Linked DNA regions of Caenorhabditis elegans. The protein of the gene in region 3 purifies or fractionates together with the protein of the main gene of each other region. This does not show direct contact. Each region holds a gene or a part of one and is shown on either strand. Other genes may lie near its edges. The genes, in order: rpc-25, W06E11.1 and W09C3.4.

What was found.
Region 1: the proteins of W09C3.4 (region 3) and rpc-25 fractionate together in Caenorhabditis elegans (co-fractionation; one large-scale study listed by BioGRID). This does not show direct contact.
Region 2: the proteins of W09C3.4 (region 3) and W06E11.1 fractionate together in Caenorhabditis elegans (co-fractionation; one large-scale study listed by BioGRID). This does not show direct contact.

What each region holds. Positions count from the first base shown.
Region 1 is NC_003283.11:10,205,118-10,208,696, forward strand, and holds rpc-25 (DNA-directed RNA polymerase III subunit RPC8), read right to left. Parts: upstream 1,486-3,579; 5' UTR 1,485-1,485; coding exon 1,272-1,484; intron 1,223-1,271; coding exon 957-1,222; intron 908-956; coding exon 667-907; 3' UTR 563-666; downstream 1-562. Other genes in the region: ZK856.16 (Ovule protein), read right to left, coding at 206-466; tftc-3 (TPR_REGION domain-containing protein), read right to left, coding at 1,710-1,815, 1,878-2,407, 2,457-2,556, 2,603-2,718, 2,769-2,905, 2,950-3,373, 3,415-3,579.
Region 2 is NC_003281.10:640,037-643,792, reverse strand, and holds the start of W06E11.1 (RNB domain-containing protein), read right to left. Parts: upstream 1,735-3,756; 5' UTR 1,722-1,734; coding exon 1,473-1,721; intron 1,284-1,472; coding exon 1,177-1,283; intron 475-1,176; coding exon 1-474. Other genes in the region: tag-267 (Major sperm protein), read right to left, coding at 2,253-2,506, 2,565-2,675, 2,719-2,878, 2,934-2,999; tag-266 (Golgin subfamily A member 7/ERF4 domain-containing protein), read left to right, coding at 3,583-3,740.
Region 3 is NC_003279.8:4,702,968-4,706,523, forward strand, and holds W09C3.4 (putative DNA-directed RNA polymerase III subunit RPC6), read left to right. Parts: upstream 1-1,636; 5' UTR 1,637-1,654; coding exon 1,655-1,915; intron 1,916-1,967; coding exon 1,968-2,330; intron 2,331-2,479; coding exon 2,480-2,746; 3' UTR 2,747-2,918; downstream 2,919-3,556. UniProt on the Caenorhabditis elegans protein: DNA-dependent RNA polymerase catalyzes the transcription of DNA into RNA using the four ribonucleoside triphosphates as substrates. Specific peripheric component of RNA polymerase III which synthesizes small RNAs, such as 5S rRNA and tRNAs.

The DNA.
Region 1 (3,579 bases), on a different chromosome or scaffold from region 3:
ATAAAGTTACGATGCGTGTCAACAACCATTGCTGGCGCATTTCTCTTTCTTGGCGCATACTCGATATGTCGATTTACGGTAGGCTACCGTGAAATGAACTTTGGGCAAAATATGGAAGAAATGCTTGATTAAATTATTTATTCACATTTGAAAATAGAAAATGGTGTCAGAGATGTTTTTAGAAGCACTTGATAGTTATTAAAACTCAAGTAGAAGAATCCATGGCCGTATCCGTACTCGATGAGGATTGAGTCGGCATCGGAATGCTTGGACAAGATGGAATGATTACATTGTCAAAATCAGAAGAGCACGCTGTGAAGGATGTCGGATATTTTTGTGTTTCGAGTTGCGATATCAAGCTGGTTCCACGGAAGACTGGCAGTGGGACGTTGTTCGAATGGTACTGTTGACTACTGGTGGGCGCAGCTGAGCTTTTAAGCATAAGGTTACGAGTTTTTTCGCTCATGTTTCTGAAACCATTCTGAAATTAAAATATCAGGCCGCCTTTGGAAGTACTTGTATAAATCATGAGACAAACATAATGATTGGATAATCGATCTTTGCAAGCTATCTTTATATTTATTTTGCAAGACGAAAAAATAACAACTTATTCAACAATAACAAAAAGTAAAAACAGTGTACCCGTTATAATCAATTAAAATTTGATTAAACTGGCTCTTCTTTAATTTTAACAGGCTGTCTAACTTCTTCTTGAGGCTGTCTAATTTCTTCTTTGGGCTGTATAACTTCTTCTTGTTCATCTTGCTCGTCTTCAACCGCTTCATCATCTTCATCTTCTGCTGCCCACCATCCAATACATCCCAATCCAGTACTAGCCATCGTACCTTTGATTTCCATAGATTTCTCTGTTTTTCTCTCTTCGTGTGTTAACTCTGGTTTGAGATCTCTGCAAACAAATCAATATTTTAATTTCGATGAAATACAAAATGTCTCACTTGAAAATGATTTCCGTCACTCGGAATCTCACAATCTTCCCTGGATCCATATACAGTTTTGCTGGTGGTTCTCCATCTTCCTGTGCATATTCCCAATACCAAACTTGCCCTTCTTCTTCGAAAACATGAGGTTCTGGAAGCTTTTCCGCCGGTACAAAAATGTCTTCGAAGAATTGAATTGTTAGACAAAGACCTTGTCGTGATGAACCAATCACTTTGGCCTCAATAACTTCATCGACAAATGGCCGAAAAACGATCATACGGAACTGAAGATTTATTTCATTTCTCAAATACGACTGTACATTGATTTATTACCTTAACTCTCGCTCTACAATCTCCTTCGCCGGGTAAAATGTACGAATCACCAATTTCATTTATATCATAGACACAAATACAGAGACCAAGATCCGGAATAATTTTGTTGGCGAGACGTTCATTGAGCCGTTTTTTGATAACAATTTGCTGATCAGAGCTCAATTGATGAGGCTGAATAGCCACCGTATCGTGCAGTAGAGAAAGAATGAACATACTGTAAATATTAAACATTTTCCTTTTATACGGCATCAGTATCAGCAGATATTGAATGGAAGCTTGAACTATATTCTCAGAACCAAATATAATGAAATAAAAATAATAAAAAAGAAAATTTATAAGTAATTGTTTAAAAAAGTACGATGGGATTGCTACTTATAAATTAGACCACACAATGTCAGACATTGGATAGATTAACAAAAATTATTCTTCAACAAAAAATCAAACAACAAGATATTTTTCATAAATTTTCCTAGCGGCGAAATTGTTTCCTGATGTTCGGTAGATTAAAGCCAGGTTGTGAGCAGCCATCTTTCTCAGGTCATATCTGAAATTTTAATAGTATTTCTACAGACAGAAATTTCTAATTTATTTTTAAAATTGTCTTACTTCATTGCTGGAATAATAACCTCATTGCCATCTTCATCAAAATCAAACACACACGGCGGATCAACCTCCAATACTTTATCATAAAAATGTTTGGCGAGAGGGAGAATCGACATTTGATGGAACATTCTGGCAATGTTATAAAAGACTTCTTGTTGGCAAGCCCGTGCTTTTGAATACTTCTTCATAAAAGCAATTCCTCGGATTCCGATGAGGTGTCTACTTGAGAGATCCTTCTTACAAGACATATGAGTGAAAGTGAGAGCAAGCAGCATACAGATGAGTGGATTTCGTTTATTGGCTACCCATACTCGAAGATACTCTCCCATTGCATGTCGGTATGTTCCCGTGATAAGTGAATTATTGCCTGAAATCGCTTGAAGAGCATGATTATCTTTAGCTTTGACGAGTGCTCTCATGATAAATCGATGGTAGCAGACATTCTGAGAGTTGACGAATACGTAGTTCATTGCATTGAAAAGGCGTTTTTGGAGAACGTCAGAGAATGAGCCATTTTGAGGATCGCTGACTGCCTGGAAATTTAAATTACTTAAATGCGTCCAATAAGATACAAATTGTTACCAAAGAAAAAGTGTGAAAGAATCTAACATATTCAAATGCCAAATTCCAACATCTTGCTTTGATTGCACAAAAATATACTAAATTCTGGAAAGTGGAGATTCTGAAAATTTTGTAATGTGTGGAAAATTTTGAACAAATTAGCTCACTTGTCGGCTTTGAAAAGAGTTGGATGTAAAAATGCATAACAACAGACAATGAGTGCGTCTTGATGTTTCTCCATTTTATTTAAACATTCGATTAACTTCAAACAGTAGTCATGTATCTGAAAATTAAAAATTTACACAATCAAATGTATGCTCGAATAATGATTACATCTGTTCCCGAAAGCGATGTTTGAAAAGTCCCATTGGCTTCTACAGTTGCTCCCAGCCTTTTGACAAGGCGTTCCCAATTTGTATGTTTAACAACTCCAAAAGCACAAGTTTTCAAAGTATTACTGAGAGCAGGTGCTGGAAATTCGTATTGAAGACAATTAAAATGTTATTTCACTTACTAGTCGTTTTTCCTTTGGTAACCCGTCGTTTCTTCAAAATATCTGGAGAAATATAGACTTTGTAGAAGTGGGGAGCCAGCATCATTCTCGTGATCCTTACAAACTGCTCAGAATCTCCTGCTTCGAATAAAACGTCTGCTCGACGAGCAAGAAGACGTTCATCTGGCATCGATGAGCAGTTTTCCAGGTCATAATTTTCCAAGGTTTCGAGGGCTTTTTCGAAAAACCCAGATTTTTGCTGGAGAGTTGACAAATGGATACGATTATCAATATGATCCGGTTGTAGTATCAGAACTTTATTGAATGCTTCCATTGCTAGATCATCATGCTTCTGCATCATTTCAAGACTTCCTTTCAGATACCAGTAAGCACCAGATGCTTCGTTGTTGTAACAAGGATTTTTGGTCAATTGATCCAGGAAGTTCTAAAAAAAACTGTATTTTGTTATTACATAATATTTCTCACCATTGCAAGTTTCGGATGTCCTCTGTTCTTGTAAAGCCTTGGCACATCTAGAATAAATCCTTCATCTTCTTCTACATTGAAATTTCTTTTCAATAATTTATGTTCCAACACGGAAGACTGTTCGACTTCATCCAAACTGAAGAGACAAATGACGAGATGGCAGTG
Region 2 (3,756 bases), on a different chromosome or scaffold from region 3:
ATAGCTCTATTAACAAGAGCTCTAATGCTCATTCGTGAAGCTTCAGGATCGTCCAAAAGGAGTCCATTCTGACTAATTCCATCAATTTTTTCAGCGACAGGGTCACCATCTTTCAAATGAACTTTCATCGGAATCCACATATCACTTGCAATCTTTTTCTCTCGATGTAACGCCGATGCTTCTCGTCGTTTTTTTTGTCGTTCAGTTTCAGGCCGAGAAAATTTGACTCTAACTGCGGCGGAGGATGGCTTAACGTCTTCTTCTTCTCCAGACGAATCTTCATCGGATTTTCCAGATTTTCCGTCGGATTTCTTCTTTTTATTCAACCCTTGAATTGATCGATGCATTTCGAATGCTCCAGTCAGCGGATGAATGAAGAATTCGCCGTTTTTAAAAAATCCAATTGCATTGACTATTGGGTGATCGTGGATGAATGCACGGCCTTCGTAGATCTCATCGTTGGCTCGGAGAGCACTGGAAGAATTGAAATTATGTGAAAAACACACAATTTTCGAATGAAAATTCGAAACTAGGCTCTTCTAAGTGGATAGCAGATCAAATTTTAAAAAACACTGACTTAAAATTGATTTTTCTACTCTTTTTTCAACAAATGTAACGAATTAATTAGCAATTTTTTAAATCAATTTTTTTTCAAAAAACGCAAGAAATCTGTAAATCTGTCCCTACCCTCGATTAGCAATCGAAACATTTAGCAGACCCAACCCTTTTGGTCTGCTAATTATTTAACAGACCAAATTTCAAAAAAACTCCGCATTAAGCCTCAAAAATTGATTTTTCTACGTTTTTTGCTACAAACCGAAAGCATTTTATTGAACTTTTCATTTAAAAAACGAAAGAAATCTGTAAATTCTTTGAAAATCCTCGAATTTTAATCGAAATATTTAGCAGACCCAGCCTCATTGGTCTGCTAATTGTTTAGCAGACCAACCATGGGTCTGCTAAATATTTAGCAGACCCAAAATTGGTCTGCTAATTATTTAGCAGACCCAAAATTAATCTGCTAAATATTTAGCAGACCCAACCTCATTGGTCTGCTAAATATTTAGCAGACCAACTATAGGTCTGCTAAATATATTCTTTACCTTCTACTTTTTTCAAAGCAAATTTCAGGTGTATTTTCATACTTTCAGCATCAAAAACTGTGGTAAAACCTACTCAATTCCATGTCCTTTTTTCGGGACATCTCCATCCATATACATAAGTTCTGCCTTCTTTTTGTCATATGATCCGAGTTGGGTGTCTGTCATGAAGCGCATTTCTAGCTGAAAATCAGTGACATTGAAAATTCGATCTAAAATTGATTAAATTGTGAAAAAAACGGCTACTTTTTCAGATGTTTTTGGGCATTTCTCTAAACGTTTGACAGGATTTGTTCAATTTGTTCAATAATTCTAGTGTCCTATTTTCCGATTTTCAATGAATTCAAGCCAATTTCAAGTGTTTTTCCGTACCAATCGAACATTCTTCTTATATCTGGCAATTGGAAATCGCTTTGCATCCCAGGCGTCTCGTTTGCTCGAAGGATACGAAACAGAGAACATTTCAGTATTTGGTGTGGAATTGCACACAACTACGTCGCATTCCCAAACGACTTGATCTTCAACTGAATCATCCTCTTCATCTGATAGAAATTCCGGTTTTTTGACAAGTTTTCGAATAATTTGCTCTTGTTCGTCGTCAGAAGCACCGTCTACTTCCATTTAGTATGAGATCCTGAAAAATTTGAGCGATTTGGACGGTTTATACGAATTATATATTTAAAAATCGTTTGTTTTTCCTTAGTTTTGTTGAAAAACCCCATTTTTACCTAGAAGAACACAAATTTTCCCGAAAAATTTGGAAAAATAAAAGCTAAAATGCAATTTTTTGTGTAATTAATAAGGATTTTTGTAGAAAATTTTAATTTTAGTTTACTAATATTTTTGGAGAATTTTTAGACACAATTTTTGTGAGATTCTGACTTTTTTTGCGATTTTTCTAGTTCTCTCACGGAAAACTCAGCAAAAATCTCGTCTTTCCAATCAAAAATTCCCAAAAAACCACTGAAAAATGTTAAATTTCAATCAATAAATGCCACGTGGCAAATAAATATTAACAGAAGATGTTAAAACTTCCAAAAATCGATTTAAAAAACCAGAAAAAAATTAAGAAAAAAACATTTTTAGCTAAAAAAACGAAAAATCAACAAACAAAAAGATAAATTCAACAAAAAATGTGTCAACAAGTAAATTTCAATTCATTTTTTCGATAATATTTGCAAGTTTTCTCGGTTTTCCATCGCCTTCCGTAGTGGTTCCATAGGCTTTGTTACGTTGTTGACGGCTTTCCAGGTCCAAAATTGCGGTCTTTTTGATCTTTTTCAGGCCTGGATGGACTTCTGAAGAGCCTTCAACGGGTTCTTCGCCTTCTTCATAAATAAATCCTCCTAGTACCTTGGGCTTCACCTCTTGCGGGAGAATTGTGATGGCGCCAGTGACGAAACTCTCTGAAAAAAATTGTTATTGGGTAATTTTATCAACTTTTAAGCTTAATTCTATGCTTACGAGCTTTAATATTCTTCGAGTCAGCTTCTTCCCGCTCCCTGAACGCCGGAATATGCACCATCCGCTCCTTTTTCGACTTTGGCGCAACAATAGCTCGGAAAACTCCGGATTCTGAAAAATTTCTCATAGATTTTTCTCAATAAAATACTCTCACCTGTCTTCAATTTGGTTTTCGTCAACACTTCCTCGTCGTTTGACCATTTTAGCGCCTCCAAATCTTCTAAACTAACACCAATCGGTTTTTTGATGAGGAAAACTTGAAAATCCGAGCTCTCATCGATCGTCATGTCAGCCACACCATTTCTGGCTTCTTCCTTAATACATTTAATTAAAACCAAAAAAGTTGTAATCAAGAAATTCAATTCTTACCACTTTTTTTACCCGTTTTCCAGATTGCTCTGAGTCCGAGTCCTGGTGCTTTCGTTTTTTGCCCATTTTACTGGAAAATTTTGCAAAATTTCAGATTTTTTAAAATTATAAAACACAAATATATTAAAAATAAATGCGTTTAGCGAAAAAAAATTGGAAAATCTGCAAAAAAAGGAAAAAATATGTTTCACAAAAAAGTGCGATAGGGCGCCGTTGCATACCACAAGAGACTTCACGAAATTGAGAGATTTCACATTGGAGAAATGAGGAACAACGAGTAAATGACATATAATTTTAGATTTTCTTGTTACAAAGTAAATAATTTATTTTCATTTAATAAAATCTTACATTTTATAACACTTTTACTAGGTGTTCAACTAAAAAACCTCGCGTTTATACTGTGACATTCGGAAACATGCGTTCTGCAAACAACCTTTTACCCAGAGAGAGCGTGGTCTCCTTGAGTTCTCAATTTCTATTGATTTTCTTTTTTCTCTATTTTCCAGACGGCTCACTGTTAATTTTCCGGCATTTTTCTCATTTTTTATGAATTTTCTAAAACATTTTCAACTTCAGCCGCTTCCTCACATCAAAATTAACACCAAACCCCTAAAATATCCTACATTTTTCCAGAGAAAATTCATAAAAAATGTCACATGGCTCACCAGCCCCATCGGCGTCGGTTTCCAGTGACGGCGAAGAGCCAGAAATAGACGTGATGCCGAGTAGTGACGAGGAATCCGAGCCAATATACATTCCAAAGGAGAAGGAACCCGTCGTGATTCGTGGAGTTGGAAATATCACAGTGTAGGTGGTTTTTAAG
Region 3 (3,556 bases):
TTAGAATTTCAAAAAATAAAAAATTACATAAAGGCACAAGTTTAAGTGTTTTCGTCTTATAGAAAAACTCCTCTAAACATTTCCGGCAAATCTGATATTCGGTAAATCGGCAAATGTACAATTTGCCGATTTGCCGAATTTGTCCTTTTTTTTTCTCGAGATGTATGAAATATGGGAGTGAGAAGAGAATTGCAAAATAGGAAGACACGAGATTCAAAATGAGGGAGTATGAGCCAAACAAGACGGAGAAAAGGCATAAGAGGAGCTCTGTGTTGAGGGATATATAATTTGTTGGAGGAGAATGACACGGAGAACACATTGCGAATATGGGATCAAACTAGAGACGCAGAGCACTGAGCAGATATCTCACAAACACCCGGTGTGTGGCAGATGGTGAGCCATTTTGGTCACTCTCTTTCCCTCTTGTTGTTCGCCTCCCTGAAAGGCAACTGCTAGCAGGCTCTGGCTACTCCTACTGACTGCTTCTTCATTGAATGCTCCTCTTTTCCATTGATGACGATTGAATATGCGAGAGACAGCCGGGGTCTCTAATACTAGGAGCCGAGTAGCATGAAATTGTTGTTGTGAAACTTATTAGAAAATGGATAAGTGTGGGGGATTTGTTGAGAATATTTTTAGCGAAAGCGAGAAATTTTAAGCTTTTGTCAGTACAACTGCGAAGTTATTTACCTCAATATGCAATATTACGGTAACACAAACCTCTTAGAATGCGTATTGTGCAACATAGTTGACGCGCAGAATATCTCGTAGCGAAAACTACAGTAATTCTTTAAAGGACTACTGTAGCTCTTTTGTCGAATTACGGGCACTATTTTCGAAATGAATTAATTTTCCAAAAGTGACAGCGATACTCATTTTCCGTCGTTTTTTTCGTATGATTCTTATCCATAAATAAATGATTTTAATTAATTTCGAAAATCGAGCCTGTAAATCAACATAAGCGCTACAGTAGTCATTTAAAGAATTACTGTAGTTTTCGCTACGAGATATTCTGCGCGTCAAATATGTTGCGCACTGGGCATTCATTTTGTGTTTTCGTAATAAAAGAAACGTTATGATATGTTTAACAAAATTTTGGATTTCATTTTTTTGATTAAAACTAACAATTCTCCAGTAATCTGAAAAATTGTCCTTTCCAAGCCAAAATAATATTTTAAATATATAACTCTTCTCATTTTCACTGATTATAATGATCAATGCATTAAAATACAGCTGCTAAAAAGCCAAACACCTTGTTTCCTTCAGATTTTCGAAAAATGGCATGTAACTCGAATGCGGCTGCCAAACCGACCACGAACAACAAAAATTCTCAAAATTTATAATTTTTATGTATATAAGCTTTTAGAAAAACATTTTTTCTATCCATTTATCTATTTTTATTATTTTATAATCTTCAGTATTAATGCTTTTAGCCACAGTCTTCATTTTCATCTCATTTTGCCATCGCCCCGCCCCGTGTGGCGACCGCGCTCTATTGCGAATCATTTTTCTCTCGCAATTTGCAGTTATTATTTCTCCCTTCAGTTTCACTATTTTCTCACAAAAATTCACCGAATAAAATGTTTTCTCTCAATAATTTTATGTTTTTTCTTATTTTTCTAATGCATATTTTAATTTTCAGCGGATAAAAATCATGGCTTCCATCAAAGAAGAACTTATAAGCGCGGCGGAAAGCGAATCGCAAGTGATGCAGATCGTTCAAGCGGCTCTCGAAGGAATTGATATGGATGCATTGACAAGTATGACACCTGGATTGCCACAAACTGTTCGTCAGACTGCGATCAATAGCCTTTTGAGCTCAAAGAAATTGGCTATTCAACAAGCGCCTGGCGGTGTGCTCCGGTTGAAAGTTAACACAAGTGAACAGATTGCGGGAACAGAAGAGGAGCAAGTGGTGAGTATTTCTTGCATCCGGAAGAAAGAAAAACTGACATTTTTCATTACAGATTTACAGTCTTATCGAAGAATCGAAGACGCGTGGAATATGGATAAAAGAACTTCGAGAAGGTTCAGGACTCAACCAGCTTCAACTTCGAAAAACATTGAAAAGTCTGGAAACGAAAAAGTTGATCAAGACTATCAAAGCTGTTGGAACTACGAGGAAGTGCTATATTTTGTTTAGTATTGAACCAGATATGTCATTGACTGGTGGAACATTCTATTCTGATCAACAACTCGATTCGGAACTCATCAATACATTGATCAGTGTTTGTGGTTCATATGCTGCCAGCAGACGAAAGCATGCGATTGATGAAAATCCGAATAATATTCAAATGCAAAGAGAAGCCAGCTATATTCGTCCTCAAGAGGTTTGATTTTTATTGATAGCTCTAAAAAAATTTTTTTTTAAACTCTAAATTGAAAATGTGAATTTTTTTAACCGGAAAATAAATTAAATTGATGTTTTTCAATTTTTTTAGCAAAAAATATGCGTAATCAATTTTAAAAAAATTTCCAGATAGCCCAATTCATCACCGAAAAACGAGTATTGAATGTTCCACTATCATTGGAAGATTTAGAAAGAATTCTCGAAGTCGCTGTGTTGGATGGAACAATTGAACGAAGAGCTGATGGAAAGATCCGTGCATGTCCACCACGTTCCAGTATTTCTCCATTAGTGTCGGTTCCGTGTGCTATTTGTCCAGTTGTCGAGGATTGTCGACCAGGATATGTGATCTCTCCTCAATCATGTGATTATATGAAAAATTGGCTGGCCGATCTGTAACTGCAGTACTCTCTAGTTAATTGTTTTGAGAACTCAGATCTTCAAAACCCGTATTTTTATTGTCCATTTTTGTTAATTTATTGATGCCTTTTTGTTGTTGATTCTCCTCTTTTTTTCTTAATTGTTAAATATTTGTTCTGAATAAAAAAATCTCATAAAAAGAGATACAAATGCTGGTTCTATTTCAGAAAGAATGGTAGGAAGTGACTAATCTTAATGTCAAACCATAATGATCGACCCTTGACGCGGAGCAGTTTTGCAAGTATGCGGCGCGGTTTTATGCATGTCATTTTTTTCTGGTTTTACAGGTTTCAATTTAAAAACCGGACTAGCCCGTAAATCGACAATAGCGCTACAGTAGTCATTTAAAGAATTACTGTAGTTTTCGCTACGAGATATTTTGCGTGTCAAACATGTTGCGCAATACGCATTCTCAGTATTGTAGGGTCCCGTAATATTAATTTTAAAAATGTTTTCTTTTTTTTTTTTAATTTTTTCCGAAATATTTTTAAAATATTACTTTTAAAAATATTTTTTTTGTCGTTTTGAAAAATAGGTACAAAACAGGAATTTTGCCCAAAAAATGAGTAAAACCGAGCGAAAAAAAATACTCACACATGTATGTCCATGTCTAGTACAAAACTCTTCGTAAATCGACATGCAAAAAACCGCGCCGCAGGCTTGCAAAACCACGCTCCGCTCCTTTTTAATTCAATAATTGCGAAATTTGAGATTGATTCTTTCGGCAATACTTTAATATTCAAATTTTTGTGGAAAAAAACCCTGATAAGGGCGGAGCATGTCTCTTTT